Linked DNA regions of Rhinolophus ferrumequinum. The protein of the gene in region 1 interacts with the protein of each later gene in a pairwise test. Links are inferred from orthologs where the notes say so. Each region holds a gene or a part of one and is shown on either strand. Other genes may lie near its edges. The genes, in order: KLHL12, TTBK2 and TBC1D10C.

Region 1 (6,925 bases):
CTAGGAGAGGTAAATGCTTTCTCCGCCTTACTCCCAGTCCTTCCGTGCCACTTCCCTAAGGACTCTTCTCGTTGTCCCTACAGTTCCAGTCTCATCAGATTTTCCACGTCCTGGTGGTGGCGGCAGCCTTTGTCCATTTCTACGGGGTCTCCAACCTGCAGGAATTCCGCCACGGCCTGGAAGGCGGCTGTACTGATGACTCACTCCTCTGAGCCGTCTCACCGGAGGGCGGGAGGGACTTCCCAAGTGCTTTTAAACACAACTTCTTTGCTGAAGTGACAGGAAGAGTCTCAGTTGTCTGTTTCTAGAGGAAACCTCTTAGAGAGTTGAGTCCGAGCAAGCTTCAGCCCACTTCCCACCCTGGGACAGTAAATTTTCCATTTCCCTGGCTGAGGGAAGGTGGGGGTGGCCACACGTCACCATGCCCCTCCTTGGCAGTCCCCTCAGCAAGGCGACTCTGTCCCTGCAGAGTACTTTGAAGCTCATGTTGAGATTTTACCCCTCCTCCAACCATTTTGGGGAAAAGTGATGAACTGGGACTCTTCGGAAATTCTGTTTCTGGAAGAAAAAGTCCCTCCCTTACCGCGTCCTTACTTTGTAACCTGGCTTATAACAGGCCACCGTTTTTGTAGCACACTTTTCAAAAACAATTGTAACCGGTCCCATCTTTCCAGGGCCTGAATCTGCTTACACAGCAGGAAGAATAGAGTCACCAACTTTGATGCAGCCCGGCTAATCATGCAAATGTGTCCAGGCTTCAGATAACTTGAGTTTCAATGTTTTTTTTTCTTGGCAGAGTAATGTAAAATTAAAAAGGGGAAAGATATTTAATATTTAATACTAAGCTTTAAAAAGAAATCTGCTATCATTGCTATGTATCTTGATGCAAAGACTATGGTGATAATAAAAGAAAGTACAGAAGACAGTTAGTGTCCAAAGACTTAACATGCGTGGTCTCAGCCCTCTGCACTCTTGTCCGTGGGTTAGAATCAGCAAAGTCATCTCAGGCCCTGCTGAGGCACACATCTGGGTCCTCGGCATTGCTCGGCCAGCACGCGTGGGCCGCGGAGAAGCCGACTGAGTTCCCAGCATCTGCTCCTCAATACAGCCTTGTTTTTCTCTACTCATTGCACAGAATTTGACGAGAGAAATTCGCACACTGTATCACTTTGTAGTCGTGAGAAGGCCCTCAGAGGTGTCAGGCTGCGTCCCTTTTGAGTATCCAAGGTCAGCACATCTGAGAGCTTAGTTCCTTTCCGACTGCCTGCCATGCTTACGGTTGTGTCGTCAGGAGGTTAGTCCATGCTTTCTGTGCAGTCGTACAGTGTCACCTCCCAGCTAACGGGGGCAGTTAGGAATCTTCCTGAGTTACAAAGATGGGTTCACGTCAAGGTTAGGTTTGTACACTGGATGAATAAGGGATCCTTTTAAAGAATAATCTGACTAGGCTGACAAACAGGAAGTTTCTCAACCTCACGTGGTAATCAGGGAAATGCAAGCTAAAACCAAAGTGTGACTCCACCTCCTCCTTCCGACTGACAGATTAGATAGAAGCCCTGACACTGAGTGGGTGTGGGTGTGGGATGCCGTTGGGAGCAGGACCAGGGTGTGTGGACATGCGTGGCGTGTGTGTACGTGTGGCACCCCCAAACAGTTCATGAGAGGCCATGAGATGGACCTGAAGTCCACCCCGGATTACTTCATTAAAAAGCACTTGTTCTGACCACTAAACTGTTTCCTTGACAGCTCACGGCCTGACTTTGAAAAACACTACTCTTGAGCAACTTGGCTTGTATCAAAAGACTCACTATAGCTGTGTGTAGGCACAGCACACAGCAAACGAGGCAAATGTCCACAACTTGAACGGAAAAAGAAATCTTGGTTTAGCCGCACAATGAAACACGACTTAGTTACAGTGACAACAACACGGTTGGGTCTCAAAGATTAGGGGGAGTGAGGGGAGCAACTTACGGAAAAATCTATCAGGTTCAGAAGTTTGCAAAACCAATGCTAGTTTAAGGGTATGAATATGGTAAAAATTCAAAAGGAAATGTTAATTTAGGCGCATGGTGCCCCTGAAGGGTAAGAACTGGAGGAGAGGAGGGACACACTATTTCAGAACTTAGCTCGTTCCTTGTAACTAGCTGGTCAGCACATGGTGTTCTTAAACCATGCGTATTTTTTCTTGCATATATGTAGTAAGGGTTTAACAAGATGAGCTGATGGCAGAGCACACACTGGTGACCTGCAGGGTGCAATGTTCACAAACGCCTGTACGCTGGGGACAACCAACTGCAGCTCAGTGGCAGCTGTGCCCTTTGTGGAGGGGTGTGCTCTCTGGTTCACCACACTGCCTAGTCCCTGGAGGCATGTTTGCAAGCTCTCCTGTCGCATCCGATCCAACGCCATCTTCCACAGGAACTACGGAGGCCGGAGCGACTGAAATCCGGTGTTTTCTCATTTTCAGTAGGAGACAGGACCAGGGAAAGAGGGTCTGAGACAAAGCGTTTCTTGAGCATGTACTTTGTACTTTGCGTATGTCATTTTGTATCTTTTTAACCCTGTGAAGTAGGTGGTATTATCCCATGCCACATGTGAAAAAATTAAGGTCCCAAAAGACTAAGACTTTTTCCCAAGATGACAGATAGGATCAGAGCCAGTATCTGAATCCAGACCATTCTGAGTTAAACCCCATGTTCTAAAGCCTCCGAAAAGTTCAAAGGCACAAAAAGAAACAGAGGGAAAAACCTCCCTCCTGCCCTGTCTTCCAACCAACCAGCCACATCCTTTTGCCAAAGAAACGAATGTTACCACTTCATTTTCAATCTTTCCAAATGCATTCTATACATATACAATCAAATAGGAATATATTTTCCCAACCTTTTTATGCAAATAATAGCAAACTAGATGCACTGTTCACAACTTCAGGGTATTGGAGGGTGCGCTCTACTTTATTGAACCAGTCCCCTACTTACGGAGGTGAAGGTGGTTTTCCATATAACCTACGACGACCTTGCACACACGTTACTTTACGTGTGCAAGAGTGTGTATGAAGGAGAAAAGATAAAAATCTCAGTTAAGGATATCTGCATTCGTAACTTGAGTGAACTTTTCCAAATGCAATAGAATTTGTACCACTCCTGCAGTTCACCCCCAGCGTGTGAATCAGGGATAATGTGAGATCGTAGGGAGATGATGCCAAAGATGGAAAGGAAACACTGTAAAATTAGATTGCTGCCCACTTGCCTATGGTTTTATCCCTAAGGAATCAAAGGCCCGAGAGGGAAACAGTGTCATCAAACACAATGTTTGGACAAAAATGGGGTCAAGGAGCCTGATCCCCTTGCCAGCCAGTCAGCTGAGTGCGCCCAAATCGGTCAGAAGCGAAATCCCTAAAGGGGACGCCCCGCGCCCCGGAGCTGGAGACGTCGGCAGACGAAAGGGGAGATGAGGCCTCCTTGGACTTCTGATGGGTTCCTTCGCACGTCCCTCAGCGCAGGGACCAACGTCCGGCGACCACCAGTCCCTTCCACGAACTGTCTCGGGGTGCGAGCAGCAGAGAATCACCTGCGGGACGGCGGCGGGCCCCACTATGATGCAGAGAATGCGGAGGTCAGGGGGTCGCAGGGCGGCCCGAAAGGTCACAGCCTGGAAGACACCTGCAGCCTCCGTGGCCTTTCTCGCCGTGAGAGCGTCCCTGAAGCCCTGGCAGGTGAAACGTGCCCCCGGCCATCAGTGCCGTGGCTCCCGGACCCTTCGCGCCCTCCCAGCCGCGGGATCTCGGGGACCAGCTCACTGTCGGCCGCCGCGGGAGGCCGGGCGCCCAACACCTGCGGGTCACGTGCCGCCGCTGCCCCACGTGACGCGGCTCCGGGAGGGGAGGGGCGGTCCGCGCTCTGCGACGTCATCACGTCGCGCGGCCGCGGGGACGGCACCCGACGAGCGGGGCGACGGCTCGCGAGGCTCCGGGTCGGGGCGGCGGCGGCGGCGCCCGGGCTCCTGAGCCGCCTGCTGGCCGCGCCCATCTCACCCCATCCCCACGCGCGGGGCGCAGGTGAGCTGACGGAGGGCGTGGGTGGCGGTGGGCGCTTCCTGCCGGGCCCGACCCGGGTTCCGGCCCTGCCCGCCTGTCCTCCCCGCCGAGGGCACGCAGCGGAGGGGGCTCGGCGCGCGGCGCTCAGCTCCGCCCGCCGGGACCCCAGCTGCGGTGCCCGCCGCGTCCCCGGTGCCGTCGGGGGACACTTCCTCCTCCTCCCGCCGGGGTTCAGCTGGGCCGGAACCTGACGCCCTCCCCGAGTCCTCCATGGTGCAACCCCCATGCAGATGTTATGGAGGTTCTGGGACAGTGGCCTCGGGAACGGGAGGGCGGAGGAAGTGCCGAGACTTGGCCCGGCGAGGCAGGCATCCCCACGCCGCGCTCGAGCTACCGTCGGTGTGACGGGCACGGAGACGTGGCCCGAGCCTGTGGGGACCCCCCAGAAAGCCTCCACAGTCCATGGGCATCTGTTAGACCTTTCCTCCCTCCGCAGCGTCGCAACTCAGTTGGCTTCAGGAAAATCTTTTTGAAAACATCATATGCTCTGATGACTCACCTCCTTTTCTGTAAAGTGGGCCCCGCAGGGTTGCTGGAGGGATTATCTCGAGTGTCACAGAGCAATACGCTAGCTGTAAACAGGAGGACGTGCGATGTCGGTTTTCCCGTTCAAAAAGTGTGGTGTGAGTTTTGGACTCTTGAAGACCCTGGTTTGAGGTTTATTCTTGGATCATTTCAGAAAGTTTTGGATTCCAACTAAGACAGACTTAACCACCCCGTTTCATTCCCCAGAGTTGTCATTGATGAAGAAAAGGAAAGAAATAGTGTCACAAAGCCTGTCACGTACAGCGCAACACGGGCAGTGAGAACGAGAAGGGATGGCGAAGGGTTAAGAAAGAAACAGAAATCAACAGAGTTTTGAAAGGGGCCAAGGGTCTCCCAGCCTCAAAGGACTGCGAGCCCCGAATCGGGCCACCTTGTGGCTTTTATTGATTCACATACAAGGAAGTCGCATTGTTTTCTCCACGGTCTGTGGGTCTCATACACCACACCAGAAAACTGGTTCAAACCGATCACCCTTGCCTGCCGAAAGTCCCATGATGTATAATTATTGTTTGTACCTCCCCAGGGGACAAAACCTTTATGTTTAAAACATACTGAGATGGAGAACTGATGTTATCACATCTAGAACCACTTCCCAAGCAGGTTGTGGGAAGGAATACAGCCACAGAGGCAGAAGCTCTCCTTAGACGGGGGAAGTGGAAAGCTGTACCCTCCTCTATCAACCCCGTGAATTCTCCTGGTGGTCCCCACACAACTGTGCCTGTCTTGGGTCGTTCCTTTCTTGAGGAATCTTACCTGTCATTGGCTAGCCAGCCATGCTTTGGGGCCAAACAAGGAGATGGCATGAAAGGAAACAATGTCCCTGAAAGGAATAGTCTCACAGACTCTTCTTTCTTTTTAGGGGTAGGCACGAGGGGACAGACGGGCAGGCAGCTGCATGACAACAACCATTAAGAAAGTACTTTTTTCATTTTTTGATGTGTAATCTATTACTACGTTCATTCAAGTGATGCGTGCTGGTGAATTTTGCAGGTGACTGACTGTGGCAGTAAAATTAGTGGGCTTTGGCTAAGTTTGTATCCCGAGAAGGCTGTTTGTTTTGGTACAGAGAATTACTACAAATATTAACTTGTTGGTGTCGACGGACATTGACTGATAGCGTAGAGTAGGAAGACCCTTCTGGAGAAGAGCTTCAGGCAGGACCTTAATCAACTGGAAGCCCACACACAGGCCTGCGCGGTTCGCATCACTCAGTGTAGGTAGCGGGTCCTCATTGGCAGTTTCGTTTTAAAAGGAATCCAGATACATTTGGAAATCACCATAAATGATTCTTTGCCTAGTTCTTTAGAAAAAAAGTTTATTTTCACTGACTGGCTTTCACAGCTCTAAGGTGGAGGCACAATTTCTCTTTTCTTGAATGCATTGACTAGGCACTTACTGTACACCTGCCTGGACAGAAAAAATACATAACACAGGATCCCCACCCTCTCCGCACTTCCCCGTGTAAACTACTCGTGGGTGTTGAATAACATGTACGCGCCTTTAAGAAATTTTGTCTTTTCATCATTTTATCATTGGAGATAACAGCCTGTTGTAGATGAGCCGGACGTGTAGTTTCTTTCTATTTATAATACAGTTGAGTATTGATTATGATAAATGTCAGGAGGTAAGCGTACTCAGAGAAGAGATCATTTTTACTTGGGTTACTTAGTGGCTGGATTGTGGGGGTGATGCCAGGAATGGGGGTGCTCTCTGTTTGTTGTTTGGTTCTCAGGAAGCCTCCTTGAGCTGTAACGCTAATTGAAAATGTCCTGTCCCCACCCCCAACCCCCATCCTTCAGATATGCCCCCTCTTTTTTTCTCTTGTATTTGCAGAATCCCAGGGCCCATTTCATTCTTTTTCCACGTTGCTTGATGGGAGGCATCATGGCCCCCAAAGACATCATGACAAATACTCACGCGAAGTCCATCCTCAACTCGATGAACTCCCTCCGGAAGAGCAACACGCTGTGCGACGTGACCCTCAGAGTGGAGCAGAAGGACTTCCCTGCCCACCGCATCGTGCTGGCTGCCTGTAGCGACTACTTCTGCGCCATGTTCACGAGCGAGGTGAAACTTGTAACCTTGCGGTCGGCTCGCTTCATTGGCTCAAATCGCAGTTCGACAGAACAGTGGATTTCTGTAGGTGGGATTGCCATGTTTCCCCAAAAATAAGACCTAGCTGGATAATCAGCTCTATTGCATCTTTTGGAGCAAAAATTAATATAAGATCCGGTCTTGTGTTAGATAAGACCGAGTCTTATAGTAAAATAAGACCGGGTCTTATAT
Region 2 (7,868 bases), on another chromosome or scaffold:
ATTGCTTTTGCAGTGTCCTATAGATTTTGGACCATTGTGTTACATTTTCATTTGTCTCAAGGTATTTTTTATTTTCTTTTCTGATTTCTTCCTTAACCCATATGTTGTTTAGTAGCATGTTGTTTAGCCTCCAGGTTTCATTTTGAAATTGATTTCTAGTTTTATACCATTTTAGTCAGAAAAGATGCTTCATATAATTTCAGTCTTCTTAAATTTACTAAGACTTGTTTTGTGGTCTAACATGTGATCTGTTCTGAAGACTGTTCCATGTGCACTTGAAAAGAATGTGTATTCTGCTGTTTTTAGATGGAATGTTCTATAAATATCTATTAGGTCTATCTGATCTAATGTGTTAAGGCCATGTTTCCTTGTCGATTTTAAGACTGGATGATCTATCCATTGATGTAAGTGGGGTGTTAAAGTTCCATACTATTACTGTATTACTGTCAATCTTTCCATTTATGTCTTAATATTTTCTTTATGTATTCAGGTGCTTCTGTGTTGGGTGTATACCGGTAGATGTTTACAAGTGTTATATCCTCTTGTCGGAATGATCCCTTTATCATTATATAATGCCCTTCTTTGTCTCTTTTTACAGTCCTTATTTTAAAGTCTATTTTGTCTGATGTAAGTATTGCTACCCCAACTTTCTTTTCATTTCCATTTGCATGAAATATCTTTTTACATCCCTTCACTTTCAGTTTGTGTATGTCTTTAGATCTTAAGGGAGTCTCTTGTAGACAGTATAAATATGGGTCTTGGGTTTTTTTTTTAATCTGTTCAGCCACCCTGTCTTTCGATTGGAACATGTAGTCCATTTACATTTAAAGTAATTATTGATAGGTATGTACTTACTGCCATTTTATTAATTATTTTCTGGGTGTTTTTGTAGTTCTTCTCTGTTCCTTTCTTCTCTTGCTTTCCCCCTGAACCTTGATGACTTTCTTTAGTGTTACGTTTGGATTCCTTTCTCTTTATTTTTGTGTATCACAGGTTTTTGGTTTATGATTACGATGAGATTCATATGTAACAACTTATGTTTATAGCAGTCTATTTTATGTTGATGGTCACTTAAGTTCGAACCCAGTCTAAGAGCACTACATACTGTGTTTCCCTGAAAATACGACCTAGCTGGACAGTCAGCTCTAATGCGTCGTTTGGGGCAAAAATTAACATAACATTATGTTATATAAGACCCAGTCTTATAGTAAGAAAAGACTGGGTTTTATATTAATTTTTGCTCCAAACGACACATTAGAGCTGATTGTCCGGCTAGGTCTTATTTTCGAGGAAATATGGTATTTGCTCATTACCCACCCCCCCACATTTTATGTTTTTGACATCATATTTTATATTTATTTTCTGTGTGTACTCATATACCCCTTAATTAATTATTATAGATATAAGTGATTTTACTACTTTTGTCCTTTAACCTTCATAATAGCTTTATAAGTGACTGGGTCACTAATTTTACTAAATGTTTGCCTTTACCAGTGAGTTTTTTCTTTCCTATATTTTCTTATTTTTAGTTTTGCAGGCCATTTATATTTAAAGAAATTATAGATATATTTAGAGTTAGGTCAGCCATTTTATTATTTGTTTTATGTTTATGCCCCTGTTTTTATTCTTTTATTTCTCCTTTCCTACCTTCTTTTGGATTATTCTGACATGTTTTGATGTGCTACTCTCTTTTTTTTCTTTTTTTCTTTTTTTGTATAGCTATTTTAAGCAATTGCTCTAGGGATTACCTACCTAATTTTCCATTCTATTAAAATTATTATATTACCATTCTAAGTAGAATGCAGAAACCTAATCACCATTATATAGGTCTCTAACATTCCACCTTTTTGTTGTAGTAGTCTTATAAAGTATATCGTATACATTGAAAATCCTTTTAGTGTTATAATTTTCTTAACTGTCAAGCATTTTTTTAAAGAATGTAAGAGGAGGTTAGTCTGTTATATTTACCTAGATTTCTGTTGCTCTTCCTTCATTCCTGTTATTCCCAGTTTTCCTCTGTTCCGTTCCATTTCTTCTTCAGAAGAAATTTCTTCTCTAGAAAAAATTCTAGGTAATTTCCTAATTCTATCATTTCTTCTGCATTTATTAGCTGTGCTTATTCTCTAGGGAAAGTTGCCCTCATCATTTAATTCTTTCACAGTAGCTCTGCTAAAAACACACAATCTTAATTTTCTATTATCTGAGAGTGTCCTTATCCTTGAAGGGTATTCTCTCTGGATACAGAATTCTGAGTTGACAATGCTTTTTTCTTTTAGTCCTTAAAAATGTTTTTCTGTTTCTTGCTAGCTTTTGCCTTAGCTTGATATATACCTTGTTTCTTATGATATGTAATGTAAGCTTTTTTTATTTCCTATGCATTTATTTATTGGAGAAACTGGGTATATTGTCCTTCAGGGTATTCAGCATCATGGATTTAGCTTATGGTATCCTCATCTTGACATTTAACATGTGCTTCTAGTCCCCTTATTTTTGTAAACTGATATTTAAATCTAGCAGCTTGATTACATCTAGGCTCTTTTAGAAGAGGCAGGACGCTCTATAGATGGTACTGAGTAAATGTTGTTGCATCATATCAGGAAGCATTTATGTTTCATTATCCTGCTTTTTAGCGATGTTAAGATTGATCAGTGGGTTCAGCTTGATCCATATTAAAGTTCCCCATCCACATCCTCCATATGTTTTTAGCAGCCTTTGGTGGTCATTGCCTAGATTCATTATTTAACCAGGGATTTTTGAATTCCTAATTCTAGGCGATTTCCTAATTCTGTCATTTCTTCTTCCACATTTATTAGCTGTGATTATTCTCTAGGGAAAAAGTGGCCCTCATCATCTCTTTGTTTCCCTGAATTACTGTTCATACCAGAAAGGCAGTATAAATTCTTGATTATTTCTATTTATTTACCAATTTTCAGGATAAATAGTTGTGCCCTAGCAACTTCGAGAATTGACCAAAGTGGAATTTTCTTTTTTGAGTGTCATTATGAGCTCATGGGTGTTTATATTTTTCTTATTTTCCAATCATTGCAGTCACCATTTGTGTATATGCTCAAATTGTTTCATCTTTGGCAAATAGGAATCCTTTCGGTTGTCTCTGATTTCCTATTGACTTGCCTGCAGTAGTACTGTTAACATTTTTGCTTTCTCATTTGACAAGACATCCCATATTTTCTTTGTGTACAGTTTCCTGTGCCAGACCTGGTACAAGCCATTTCTCTGATTTTTTTTTTTTTTTAAGTGGGAAATGATGTTCAGAGTCTACAGTCTAGAGGCTGGGGTGCTCATTGTTACTGGGTTATCATTGCTTTTAGGCCTTTTCAGGCCAATCCTCGTGCCAAATCTTTTACCGTAATTTCTTGATTGATACTTGTTATGTAGTTGATTCTTAAGGGCATTTCCTGGGAACAAGCCTTGAAAGCTGGAACAAGCAACTTTCAAGGGCATTAGCCTTGAAAGTTGGTTTGAGGGAACAGAACTTTCCTGGCTCACATTTTGTTGCCTTGGGTATTTAAATGTATAATTCCATTGTCTACTAACATAAGCTGTTTGTGCCAATGTTTGTCATCAGTCTGATTTTCTTTCCATTATAAGTAATTTGGACTTTCTGCACGGATGACCAATGAATTTTTTTCCCCTTTAAAACCCACTAGTTTTATTAGACTGTGTCTTGATATTGAGCTTCTCAGTTGTTTTCTTAGGAATGTGGTGAACATGCAGATTTAGCCTTTTGTATATTTACATAAAATTTTCTTGAATTATGGTGGCTAATATTTGTTCTATTTCATTGCTTTTTCTTTTGGGGGGCTTTCTATGATAATGTATTTTGTCTTTTATTTATCTCTTTCAATTTTTGAATTTCTTAAATTTTTCATTTTCATTTTTCTCTTTTGTTTTTTCTCACTTATTTATATGGTATCTTGTCTCATATCCCTTGTAGTTGAGCCTTCATTTCTTTTTCTTTCATTTAGGACTCTTTTCTGAGTTCATTCAGGTTTCTTTTTATGTCTTCCTGTTGCCTAGCTCTCTCATTTAAGAGCTTTTCCAATTATCATTTATGTTGTTTTAAAGCTTCTTTTTCTTACTTTTCTTTGGTTCATCTTCTAATATTAGGTTATGGTTTTCATCTCCTTTAGGCCATATTTTCTGCTGTATCTTCATTTTCTACAGGTGTACTGTTCATGTTATTGATATCCTCTTTTTCTTATTGTATTGGGTTTGATGAATAGCCCTTTTCTGTGGCTCATGGTTATTTCCTGTGCATTTTAAGTGCATTATGTAACATTAAAATTTTATTAGCTCTGATGATGGTAAGCTCTAACTTACAACCTATTAAACTATAAGCTGTTGTAAATTAGGTACCATATCATTTTCTTTAGCAATATGTTGTACTTAGGAAAGTGGTCTGTCTGGGTCACCTGCTATTGACACCATGCTTTCCCTATAGTCTAACAGTTTCAGCTATTGTAAATTATATCTGTGTCATAATGTAATGTTTTTGTAATGTCTAGCTGTTTCATTGGGTATTTGTGATGGAAAGATAAATATTTTTTACAAAGTATTCACTAAACAGATTTTTAAAGTGAGTTTGTTAGTTTCCCCCTTCCCCTTCCAACAAAGCAACCTAATTAACGTATGGGATTAGTAATGCTACTTGTTGCTAGAATGTTTGTGTTAATTAGTTAGTCCCGATATGCCACTGCTGTTTCTTTTGTTTTAGGTTAAATGGAAACCACCCTTGGGAGCTGGATGCTTGTGTAGCGGTTCTGTCACGTCAGTGAATTGCAATGAGTGGAGGAGGAGAGCAGCCGGATATCCTCAGTGTTGGAATTCTGGTCAAAGAAAGATGGAAAGTGGTGAGTATACATCTTTGGGGTGGGGGGGAAGGGGAGAAAGGGAGAGAAAGAGAGAACACTTTTAATAATTTTTGGTGTCTTGATAAAAATAGCATTTCATTGGGAAAAAACACATATTGCTTGCTAAAGCAGTTACTTTCAGTTTTTTCCCTATGATTAAGTTTGGTTTATACCCAAATTCTAATTCTTGCTTCATGTAGTAGTAAATTGTCCTTATCTCTGAGAACTAATATTGAGTAAGGTAAATAAAAGTATACTTAGGGGAAAAAACAAATAAAAAAATAGAGTACAGTAAACTGCTTTCTTTTTTATTTTTGAACTTTTTATTAAGAAAAATTGTAAGTATACATAAAAATAGTGATACTGATATAATGAACCTCCATGTACTCATGCCCCAGCTTAAATATTTATCAAGTTATGGTCAATCTTGTTTTATCTCTTTAACCTCACTCCCAAAATATATATATTTTAACTCTTTATTTATTTTAAGTGTGTTTTTCCAGAACCCATCAGCTCCAAGTCAAGTAGTTGTTTCAAGGTAGTTATGGAGGGTGCAGCTCACAGTGGCCCATGTGGGGATCGAACCGGCCACCCTGGTGTTACGAGCATCATGCTCTAACCAACTGAGCTAACTGGCTGTCCCCCAAAATATTTTTAAACAGATCTTTCCCCTTAGTATTTTACGATACATACTTCAGTATGTATCTCTAAAAGATAAAGATTTCTCTTTAAAACACAATCATAATATCATCACACCTAAAAAAGTAATAATTTCTTAATATTATTAAGTATTGGCTTTTACATTTCCCTGATTGTTTTTTAAGTTATTTTTAACAGTTTAAATCAAATCCAAATAAAGTCTGGATATTATAATTGGTTGACATCAGTTAAGTATTTTTAAGTTTCTAGGTATTTTTTTGTCTAGTTTTCCCTTACAATTTATTTGTTGGAGAAACTAGGCCATTTGTCTGTAGAATTTCCTATGGTTTGGGTTTTTCTGATTGCTTCTATGTGGTGTTAACATGTTCCTCTGTCATGTATTTTATATAAATTGTTATAAATGTCCTCTATTAGGTCTGACTTCAGTTCTAATCTGAGATGGGGGCAGTTTTTTCATAAAGGGTATTGTGAACTTTCCATAGGAGGCACGTAATGTGTTACCGCCTGTCTTTATGGTGTTACTATTGTGGATCGTCATTGGCTGGTATGTTAATTCATTTGGGATTGCAGATTGGTGATCTTTCTCAACTATTTGATTTCCCTGAGATATAACTTGATTAAGAAAACAATAAATACTTGATTCTTTTTTCTTAATTTACCAGTTTTCAAAATAATGAATTGATTCCCTAGCATTATCCAAAAGTGACTAATGACATTTTTAAAAATGTGATTCACAATTCATGAGTTTAAACACATTTAATGTGTTTCAGTCCATTGTAGTTCTTATCCTTATCGATACTCAAATTGTCTCATTTAACTAAGGGGACACCCGTCAAGTTGTCTCCTGAATTCCTTCAACATGATCGTAATAGTCTTTTTCTTTTTAAATTTTTTAAATTGGGGAATATTGGGAAACAATGTGCTTCTCCAGGGCCCATCAGCTCCAAGTCGTTGTCCTTCAATCTAGTCGTGGAGGACGCAGTTTAGCTCCAAGTCCAGTCGCTGTTTTTAATCTTAGCTGCAGGGGGCGCAGCCCACCATCCCATGCGGGAATTGAACCAGCAACCTTTTTGTTGAGAGCTTGTGCTCTAACCAACTGAGCCATCTGGCCGCTCCCCTAATAGTCTTTTGATGGCTTCCTTGCCATAGACTTATCAGCCATCTCTCCTCTTCTTAAAGTAGCTATTTTTGTTTTGGATATATTTAAATATATTGTATTGCTATCTAGTCTTTTGTTATCCAAAGTTTTTTATCTTTTACCAGCTTTAGCAAAGCTGTTTCTGTGGTTTCCTTAATCAATAGATTGGAAAAAGAAAATTCTTCATTTTGAAGTAAAAATTTTGTTTCTGTGGTAGTGTTTTACTGATTAGGCAAATCAATAGGTTTAGAAAATTTACTTGAGTAAACATAAGAAAAGAACCATAATCATCATGGACTGGTGCAGGGAGTTTTCAACAATTGGTAATCTTTTATGTAAGTTAGGAATGAGTGTTGCTTTATGAGAACTTTGTATTAAGTGCTGCCATAAAGGTTGGCTGTTCTCCAGTAGACATATCGCAAAGTTGCAAATGAAGTTATGCCTGGTTTAGTTGCCCTGTCCTGATAATTAGAGCTAATATATGTGTGGAACATGTCCCCCAAGTATGAGAGGCATAGTGACATTTTTAGTGAGAAACCACAGGCTCATTGGTAAGGATGGTGTTTTGGTTATCTAGTGTTGTATAACAACTACATGAAAACTTAGAGGCTTAGAATAATCAGTTATTTTGCTCACAGTTTTGTGGGTTAGGAATTTGAGAAGAGTTTGCCTGGGTGGTTTGTCTCTTACTCATGTGGCACTAGCGGGTTTGGTTGGTTTGGAGAATTCATCCCAGATGGCTCGTTTGGTGCTTTGGGGATCCTTAGTTCCCTCAACCCCCAACCTGGTGCCTCATTTTCTAGGACTGCTTCACAGGACTGTGGCTTCTGAGGAGGCCATGGTGATTGGCTCTTGAGAGACAGGAAACAGAAGCCTTGAGGCTGGTTGAGGGCTATTATCAGAATTTGTGCAGTGTTACTTTTCCTGGTTCTCTGTTGGTTAAAGCAGTCATAAGATTCACACAGATTTAAGGGGATGGGGAAATGGACTCTCCCTCTTATTGGGGGAGTGGCAAAGTCACTCTGAAGAAGAGCAAAAAAGATGAGTGATACTGTGGTCATCTTTAGAAAACACACTCTGCCACAGGCCTTACCTTTATTTTTTTCCCCTAATCTACATACCCCCATCATACTAAACTGCCTCTGTCTCTTTGCCTCATAAGCGTTGATGTATTAGCGCTTTGTCAAGCACAATAAAAA
Region 3 (7,128 bases), on another chromosome or scaffold:
CCCAGTGTTTGGGACACGGGAGACAGAGGCCAGGGTGAGAATCCAGCTTTGACCTTTATTCAAGAGACCAGATGGGTTGCCCAGGATCCGGCTGCCAGCCCTGAGGCCAAGCAAGGCTGGAGACCCACAACCTGGCCCTGCTTTGCCCTGAGCTGCAGCCTCAGCCCCAGGATCCTGCTTGCAGCCACCGAGGCACAGGCAGGGGGAGCCCTGGGGGATTGGACGCTGCTACTGATTCATTAAAAAAAAAAGAAAAATACACCAAGGCTCCGTGTTCCCTTGATGGGTAGGCCCAGGGGCCAGTGTGACCCCCACGGCTGTGAGATTGCTGCACAGTCCACCCTCGGGGGCAGACAGCGGGCACCCACAGGCTATTTCTTGGCTTTGGCGGAGTTGCGGGGTGGGGTGATGGGCCGGCCGCCAGGGTTCAGGCCACTGAACTGCCCATATTTCCCCTTGTTCTTGTCGGCGGGCTTGAGGATCTAAGAGAGAGAACTGGTCAGGCTCACGGGGCTGAGCCATGGGCCACCAGCCCCTTCCTTCCCCACCCCTACCTGGAAGGAGCACATGAGCGTCTCGTCCACACTCATCATGGCGCCTGCATTGTCAAACTCGCCACAGTAGTTGGGAGCTGAGAAGAGTGTCACCAGCTGCCGCTTGGCAAAGAACTCATAGCCATCTTCTACGACCTGGATGAGGACGGGGCAGTTAGTTCAGCAGGTGCTGGCTGCCCAGGCCCCACTCCCACCCAGACCAGAGCTCCCAGCCCACCTGGTGTGCCCGGCAGATGAGGTCCAAGTCGTGCTTGTGCAGGAACTTGGCCACCACCTCAGCCCCGAAGGTAAAGGAGACACCACGGTCGTTCTCGCCCCAGCCCTGCACATCCTTGTCAGGGTCAGACCACAGCAGGTCACATAACAGCCCCTGGTCAGGCACATCTGTGGGCCGCATGATACGCCTAATCTGCTCCATAGACTGCAGATCCGGGGAGAGACCTGAGGGACACGGGGCAGGTCACTTCCTCAAACAAGCCTCAAAACAAGGGCCACCCTCCTCCAGAAAGTCTTGACCAATTAGCTTCTGCCTCCCCCCACTACCACCTGGCCCTCTCCTGGACTCCTGGAAGCCCAGGTCGGCAGAACTCACCGCCTTAGCCTGTTTAAGTCCCTGCCCTCTAGGAGCGCAGAGCTCCCTAGAGAAAGGAAACTTCTAAGTTCCACGCACAATGCTGAGGCCACAACAGCAGAGAGTACAGCCTAACACTGGCGAGGGGGGACATCCAAGCCCAGACCCCAGGGAAAGCTGTTCCAGGTGACTGGGAACACGTCCTCCAGCAAACAGCCTCATCCCGAGGTCCCCAGGGATGTGGCTGGGCTTTTCCCAGAGCCGTCCTCACCTCCATGGCAGCAAAAGATCTTCTCGTCCACAATGGCCGCGATGGGCAGGCAGTTGAAGCAGTCGGTGAAGGTTTTCCAGAGTTTAATGTTGTAGCGTCTCTTGCCTGCCCAGAGGAAGGAGATGGCTTGTGAGGCGGCCTGTCCATCCAACCCACAACAGGGTTGTGGGCCCCCCAAGGCCTCCCAGACACAGCTGGGAGAGGAGCGTGAAACGCAAGGGAAACCCACTGCCTACCAGCTTTCCAGGAGGAACCCCCGAGTTCCAATCCGGAACGTCAGGGTTGGCACCCACCTCCACCCTGTGAGCGGGGCCAGGCCAAGACCAGATCTGGTTAATCTCAGCTTCTGGCCAGCAGAGTCCAGGCCACATAGGCATCCTAAGTGCTTAAGTAACGGATGTGCGAGAGGGAATGTTACCAGACAGGACCCTGTATTACACTGTGGTCGGCCCTTCCTGAGGGCCAGGCCCCATGGCAGCAGAGCAGGAGGGCAGTCGGGCAGGGCCCTGCCTTCCCCACACTCACAGTCTAGCAGGTTATCTGTCAGATGCCGATACTCCTACCACCAAGTCAACGCAAGGGTCCCACCAAACAGTGGGGAGAGAACTTCAGGCCTCTGGCAGCCCCAGGCACGCAGCCCACTCACACTCATCATAGAAGCCGTAGATGCGGTTGATGCTGGCACACTCGTGGTTCCCACGGAGCAGGAAGAAGTTTTCGGGGTACTTGATCTTATAGGCCAGCAGCAGGCAGATGGTCTCCAGCGACTGCTTGCCCCGGTCCACGTAGTCCCCCAGGAAGAGGTAGTTGCTCTCTGGAGGGAAGCCACCATACTCAAACAGCCTTAGAAGATCATAGTACTGGCCATGGATGTCACCTGTGACCCAGGGAAGCAGGTCAGCACTAGGTGCGGGATCTAGACTTGAACCCAGGGCCAGGGTGGGCTCAAGAGAAGAGGGATCCAGGGGTTGGGCGGAGGGGGGGGCGAGGACACCTTCAGGAAGCAAAAGGGCCTGGGCAGGGGTCTCACCGCAGATTTTGAGGGGTGCCTCCAGCTCCAAAAGAATGGGCTGGCTCAGGAAAATCTCCCGGGATTTGAGGCACAGACCACGGATCTCATTCTCTGTCAACTGTACATTCTTGCCAGGCCGCGAACCCTGCACTGGAGGCGGAATGGAGCGTCAGGACCCTGGTTCCTCAGACAGGAGGGTGGGCGGCACAGGTGCCCCATGGGCACTTCTAGCGGCGCCTGGGCCTCCTGGGCCCCTCCTTGCCCCGGGAAGCTGTTGCTGCTTAGCCTGCCAGGACGGGACCCCAACTACCCTTAAGGTGCTCGAGGGGATTGCTGTGCGCAAGGGCCGAAACCCCCCAACGCAGGACCCCTTTCCGGGGGTGGGGGGGACAGGCTTCTTAGATTTTTCCCTCACCCCAAGAGCCCAGGCCAACTGGTGCGTCCCCGGTCCAGAGGAGGGGGCTGCTCCCCGTGCCCGAAGGGCCCCAGACGCCCCCAAGGTGCGCCGCCAGTGGGGGGGCGGCTGCGGCCGCGGAACCTCGCGGCCCGTCCCCGCCCAGTCTAAGCTAGCCCTGGGAGGGGCAGGCCCGCCCGCGCGCAACTTCCGGGCCGAGCCGGGCCGGGGGTTAGGGCGAGGCGGACGCTGACCTCCCACACCCCAGCCAACCTTCCAGTAGGCGCCCGATGATAGAGTCCAGATTGAGCTTCTCGCTGTCGGACATGGCGGCTCTGCCGCTCCGGCCCAGCAGCTCCGGGCCAGCTCCTGCCTCCCGCCCTCCGATGCCTCCTTCCGGCCTGTCGCTCCTTCCGCCCGCCCCGGCCCGCCTCCTCGGCCGCCCGCCCCGCCCCGGCCCGCCCCACCCCGCTGGCTTCCCTTGCCTGCTGCCCCAGCTCTCTAGCGCCTCCGCTGGACGCCATGCGGGAGGCGGGGGCTCGGTGACGGGGCGGTACTTTATGTGCCTGGGGCGGGGCCTGGTCGGTGGGCGTGGTTTTGTGGGGTGAGGTTGAGTCTGGTTCCGCCCCTGAGAATTACTCAGCCTCTTTCTGAGAATATAGGACCGGAAATACTGTGGAAGTTGTTTTTCTCTTTCACAGGCGGAACAGCCGAACTTCCCACCTGGCGTGAGCACGTTAATCATAGATTCCCCAAACACTGTGGATTAAGTCCTCAAAGGACAGAAAAGGAAACTGAGGCTCAGAGATAACAAGGGGCTGGTCCAATACCTGGCCTCACATTCACAGAGGACCTCTACCTCCTGCGTCTTTGTGGCCCCCGAGGTGGCTGACCAAACCCAGGCAGCTTCCATAGAACTCCGAGCCCATTTTAGTTCATACTGCCTGTGGTGCAATCTAAATTAATTTTTTAAAATCCCATCCTTGCCTGCCTTTGAGTAGCACAAACTGCATTGTGAGCATGTTAAAAGTATTACTTTCTAAAGAGCAAACATTAAATAAACCATAATTCTCATTGAAACCCTGAATTGAGTGTTTTATATGCCAGTATCCTCCACAGGAGGCAGCCTGGCCTCTACCTCCAGCAGTCCCTGGTCCCATCAAGCCCGGCACAAGAACCCAGGGTACAGGGTTGGGTTGGTGGGAGGAGCCCATAGCCCAGGGGCACTGGGGCAGGCCGGAAAAGCCTCAGAGAGGAAGGGGTAACCCCCCCACACACACTGGGGAGGGGCCCCCCAGTGGGTAGCTGAAGCTGTGTCTGAGGAGGAAGTGAGAGGAGGAGGTGAGGTGCTTCTGGGAGGTAAGCTGGGGTGCTGGGCCAGGGGCTGGGTCTCTGAACAGAGGCCTGGCCTTTCTGCCACTTCAGGGTCTAACCCCCTCCCACCAATAGAAGTGGGGACACAAGGGGCTTGTTGAGATACCCTGAAACCTCCTCCCTTCAACCCCACAGCCAGGACCTGAGGCTGAGGACCGGTTGGATGGGAGGCCAGGCCAGGAGCTGCCTCTCTCACTGGTTCTCCCATCTTGCAGCCTCTTTGTTGCATCAGGGGTCTGGGGCACCATGGCCCAGGCCCTGGGTGAGGACCTGGTGCAGGCTTGTGAGCTGCAGGATGATTCCAGTTCTTTGGGGTCTGACTCAGAGCTGAGTGGGCCCGGCCCATATCGCCGGGCCGACCGGTATGGCTTCATTGGAGGCAGCGCAGCAGAGCCAGGGTAAGTGGGGAAGGAATGGGGGTGGGGGAGGTCCTGGATTGAAGATAGGGGCTGAGAGCTGAATTCTAGAATGAGGCCCAACCTCAAGGGTCCTGGGCGGGTCTGGGGACTTAGCAAGTGTCACCCCTCCTAAGGCTGGCAGGACTGGGCCGGGGTGTCCTTGTCTCTTTACCCCCAAACCCCAAGGGTTTGGACCCACCTTGGGAACTGAACATCCTTTCCCTTTTAACCTCTGGCCCAGGAATCCCAAATCCAAATCACAGAACCCACACTTCTTTCTCCACCCTCCCCCTTTCCCAATATACAGACAGGATAAAAAGTCCAGAGACACGAAGGAACTTGCCTGAGGTCACACAGCAGATCAGAGACTGAACCAGTCTCAAACTCAGTACTCCTGGCTTCTAGTACAGGGCTCAGTCCACACAGCTTCCCCTGTGAGTTGTCTGTGTCCCTATCCTGGGGGACAGCCAACCAGCCCCTCCCCCAATGCACACCTACACACCCCTTTCAGTCTTTCCTGCTTCCACCCACATTGGAGCCACATCCTTTCCTGTCCCCATGACAACCACTGGCAACTCTTGGGTGACAGGTCACCCCCCAGGGGCTCACTTAGGTTGCATGAGGGTGGCAGATGTGGGCTGTAGGTAACAGCTGCCTGGCGCCTGGATGTCTATGCCATGTGCTCCCAGGCCTGGTCACCCTTCTGCAGACCTTATCCGTCAACGTGAGATGAAGTGGGTGGAGATGACTTCACACTGGGAGAAAACCATGTCTCGGCGGTACAAGAAGGTGAGGGGAGAATGGCCCCACCCAGGCCGTCTTGGCTTATTCTCCTTTGCCTCAGCCCAGGCCCTGGCAAAATTTAGTCCCCTCCTGTGTCCTGTCTTTTCTCCCTACCACCCAAAGTGGCCCTTGCCTGATGCTAAGTTGTGTTTGGGGCCTGCCAGCAGGAGCAGGGGAGGCTGGCCCTGCTGGCCTAATGGGGTCCCTTGGCCTCCGCACAGGTAAAGATGCAGTGCCGGAAAGGCATCCCCTCAGCCCTGCGTGCCCGGTGCTGGCCTCTGCTGTGTGGGGCCCATGTGTGTCAAAAGAACAGCCCTGGTATCTATCAGGTATAAGAGTTGGCAGGGGTTCCCCCCTTTCCAGAGCCCCTCGCCACTTTGAGCCCTCCCACCTACCTTCCTGCCTACCCACAGGAACTGGCTGAGACTCCGGGAGATCCACAGTGGATGGAGACCATCGGCAGGGACCTGCACCGCCAGTTCCCTCTGCACGAGATGTTTGTGTCTCCCCAAGGTCACGGGTACGAGGCCAGTGATGCCCAGGGACCCCCAGCCTCACAACCCCAGGCATTTTGGCCCAGCCCCTCCCCACCCCAGCTTTATGTCTTTGCATCTCAGGGGAGCCAGCAAGGCTGGGGGTGGTGAGGCTTGGGCAAAGGCTGCAGAGAGGGGAAAGGGATGCCAGGAGGACTGATCCCTAATGGGGTCTTCTGGCACAGGCAGCAGGGGCTCCTGCAGGTACTCAAGGCCTACACCCTGTATCGGCCTGAACAGGGCTACTGCCAGGCACAGGGTCCTGTGGCTGCCGTGCTACTCATGCATCTGCCCCCAGAGGTGAGTGCCCTTAACCCTGTGCTAGGGGCCCGAAACCCTGACCCCCAACCCCAGTGACCCGTGACTCCCAACCCCAGGGACTCTGATGTCAGGAACCTGGGATCCTTGACCCCAGATCCTGTCCTAGTGACCCAGGGCTTCATGACTGCCAGCCTCAGTGACCTTAAAGCCCAATGACCTGGACTGCAGGAACCTGGGACCTTTGCCCCTTGCCCCTTGCCCCAGTGAATAGGAGTCTGCATGTTATCACCTTGACCTCCTGACTCCTGATTCTGAACCCTGTCACCATGATCCCTAAACCAATGACCCCAAGAACCCAGGACTTGAGCTTTGGGATCCTCCCAACCTTTGACCAGTGAGCCTCGATTCTGTGACCCTCAAATTCAACACCCTGAGCCCTGTGACCCATGAGCAGGGGAGGCTTTTGGTAAGAGCGCCCCCAGGTCTGAGTCCCGGCACCTAGATCCACAGTCACTGCAGATGGTATCCAGGCCCTCCCCTGCACCCTTTCCCCCTGCCCTGCGGTTCCCCTTGTGGCCCCTCCATGGTGGGCACTCATGGCCTGTGCTCCACCTCCAGGAGGCCTTCTGGTGCCTGGTGCAGATCTGTGAGCTTTACCTGCCAGGCTACTACGGGCCCCACATGGTAAGAGTCTGGGATGAGGCCAGAGGGCACAGGGGGAGGGGCTGGGTGGATGGGTGGGTGGAGGCCTGGGGACTGAGCGGGGCAGAGCCTGCTGGGCTTTGGGAGTGGAGGTGCTGACGGACATGGCCGCAGGAGGCTGTGCAGCTGGATGCTGAGGTGTTCATGGCCCTGCTGCGGCGGCTGCTCCCGCGTGTGCACAAACACCTGCAGCAGGTGGGCGTCGGGCCCCTGCTCTACCTGCCCGAGTGGTTCCTGTGCCTCTTCGCCCGCTCCCTGCCCTTCCCCACAGTGCT

What was found.
Region 2: the proteins of KLHL12 (region 1) and TTBK2 interact in binary tests that used the Homo sapiens proteins (3 or more experiments, as listed by UniProt). The two-hybrid records come from large-scale screens. The link is inferred for Rhinolophus ferrumequinum from reciprocal best matches to the Homo sapiens genes KLHL12 and TTBK2.
Region 3: the proteins of KLHL12 (region 1) and TBC1D10C interact in binary tests that used the Homo sapiens proteins (3 or more experiments, as listed by UniProt). The two-hybrid records come from large-scale screens. The link is inferred for Rhinolophus ferrumequinum from reciprocal best matches to the Homo sapiens genes KLHL12 and TBC1D10C.

Annotation. Positions count from the first base shown.
Region 1 is NC_046310.1:166,060-172,984, forward strand, and holds the start of KLHL12 (kelch-like protein 12), read left to right. Parts: upstream 1-3,915; 5' UTR 3,916-4,054; intron 4,055-6,438; exon of another isoform or gene 6,439-6,472; 5' UTR 6,473-6,511; coding exon 6,512-6,706; intron 6,707-6,925. Other genes in the region: ADIPOR1 (adiponectin receptor protein 1), read left to right, coding at 84-212. UniProt on the Homo sapiens protein: Substrate-specific adapter of a BCR (BTB-CUL3-RBX1) E3 ubiquitin ligase complex that acts as a negative regulator of Wnt signaling pathway and ER-Golgi transport.
Region 2 is NC_046289.1:62,758,710-62,766,577, forward strand, and holds the start of TTBK2 (tau-tubulin kinase 2), read left to right. Parts: upstream 1-4,787; 5' UTR 4,788-4,802; coding exon 4,803-4,871; intron 4,872-7,868.
Region 3 is NC_046294.1:4,830,776-4,837,903, reverse strand, and holds the start of TBC1D10C (carabin), read left to right. Parts: upstream 1-4,062; 5' UTR 4,063-4,161; intron 4,162-4,169; exon of another isoform or gene 4,170-4,391; 5' UTR 4,392-4,422; coding exon 4,423-4,574; intron 4,575-5,263; coding exon 5,264-5,363; intron 5,364-5,578; coding exon 5,579-5,686; intron 5,687-5,770; coding exon 5,771-5,877; intron 5,878-6,075; coding exon 6,076-6,190; intron 6,191-6,769; coding exon 6,770-6,835; intron 6,836-6,967; coding exon 6,968-7,128. Other genes in the region: PPP1CA (serine/threonine-protein phosphatase PP1-alpha catalytic subunit), read right to left, coding at 372-482, 555-689, 772-995, 1,397-1,501, 2,043-2,273, 2,427-2,558, 3,076-3,130.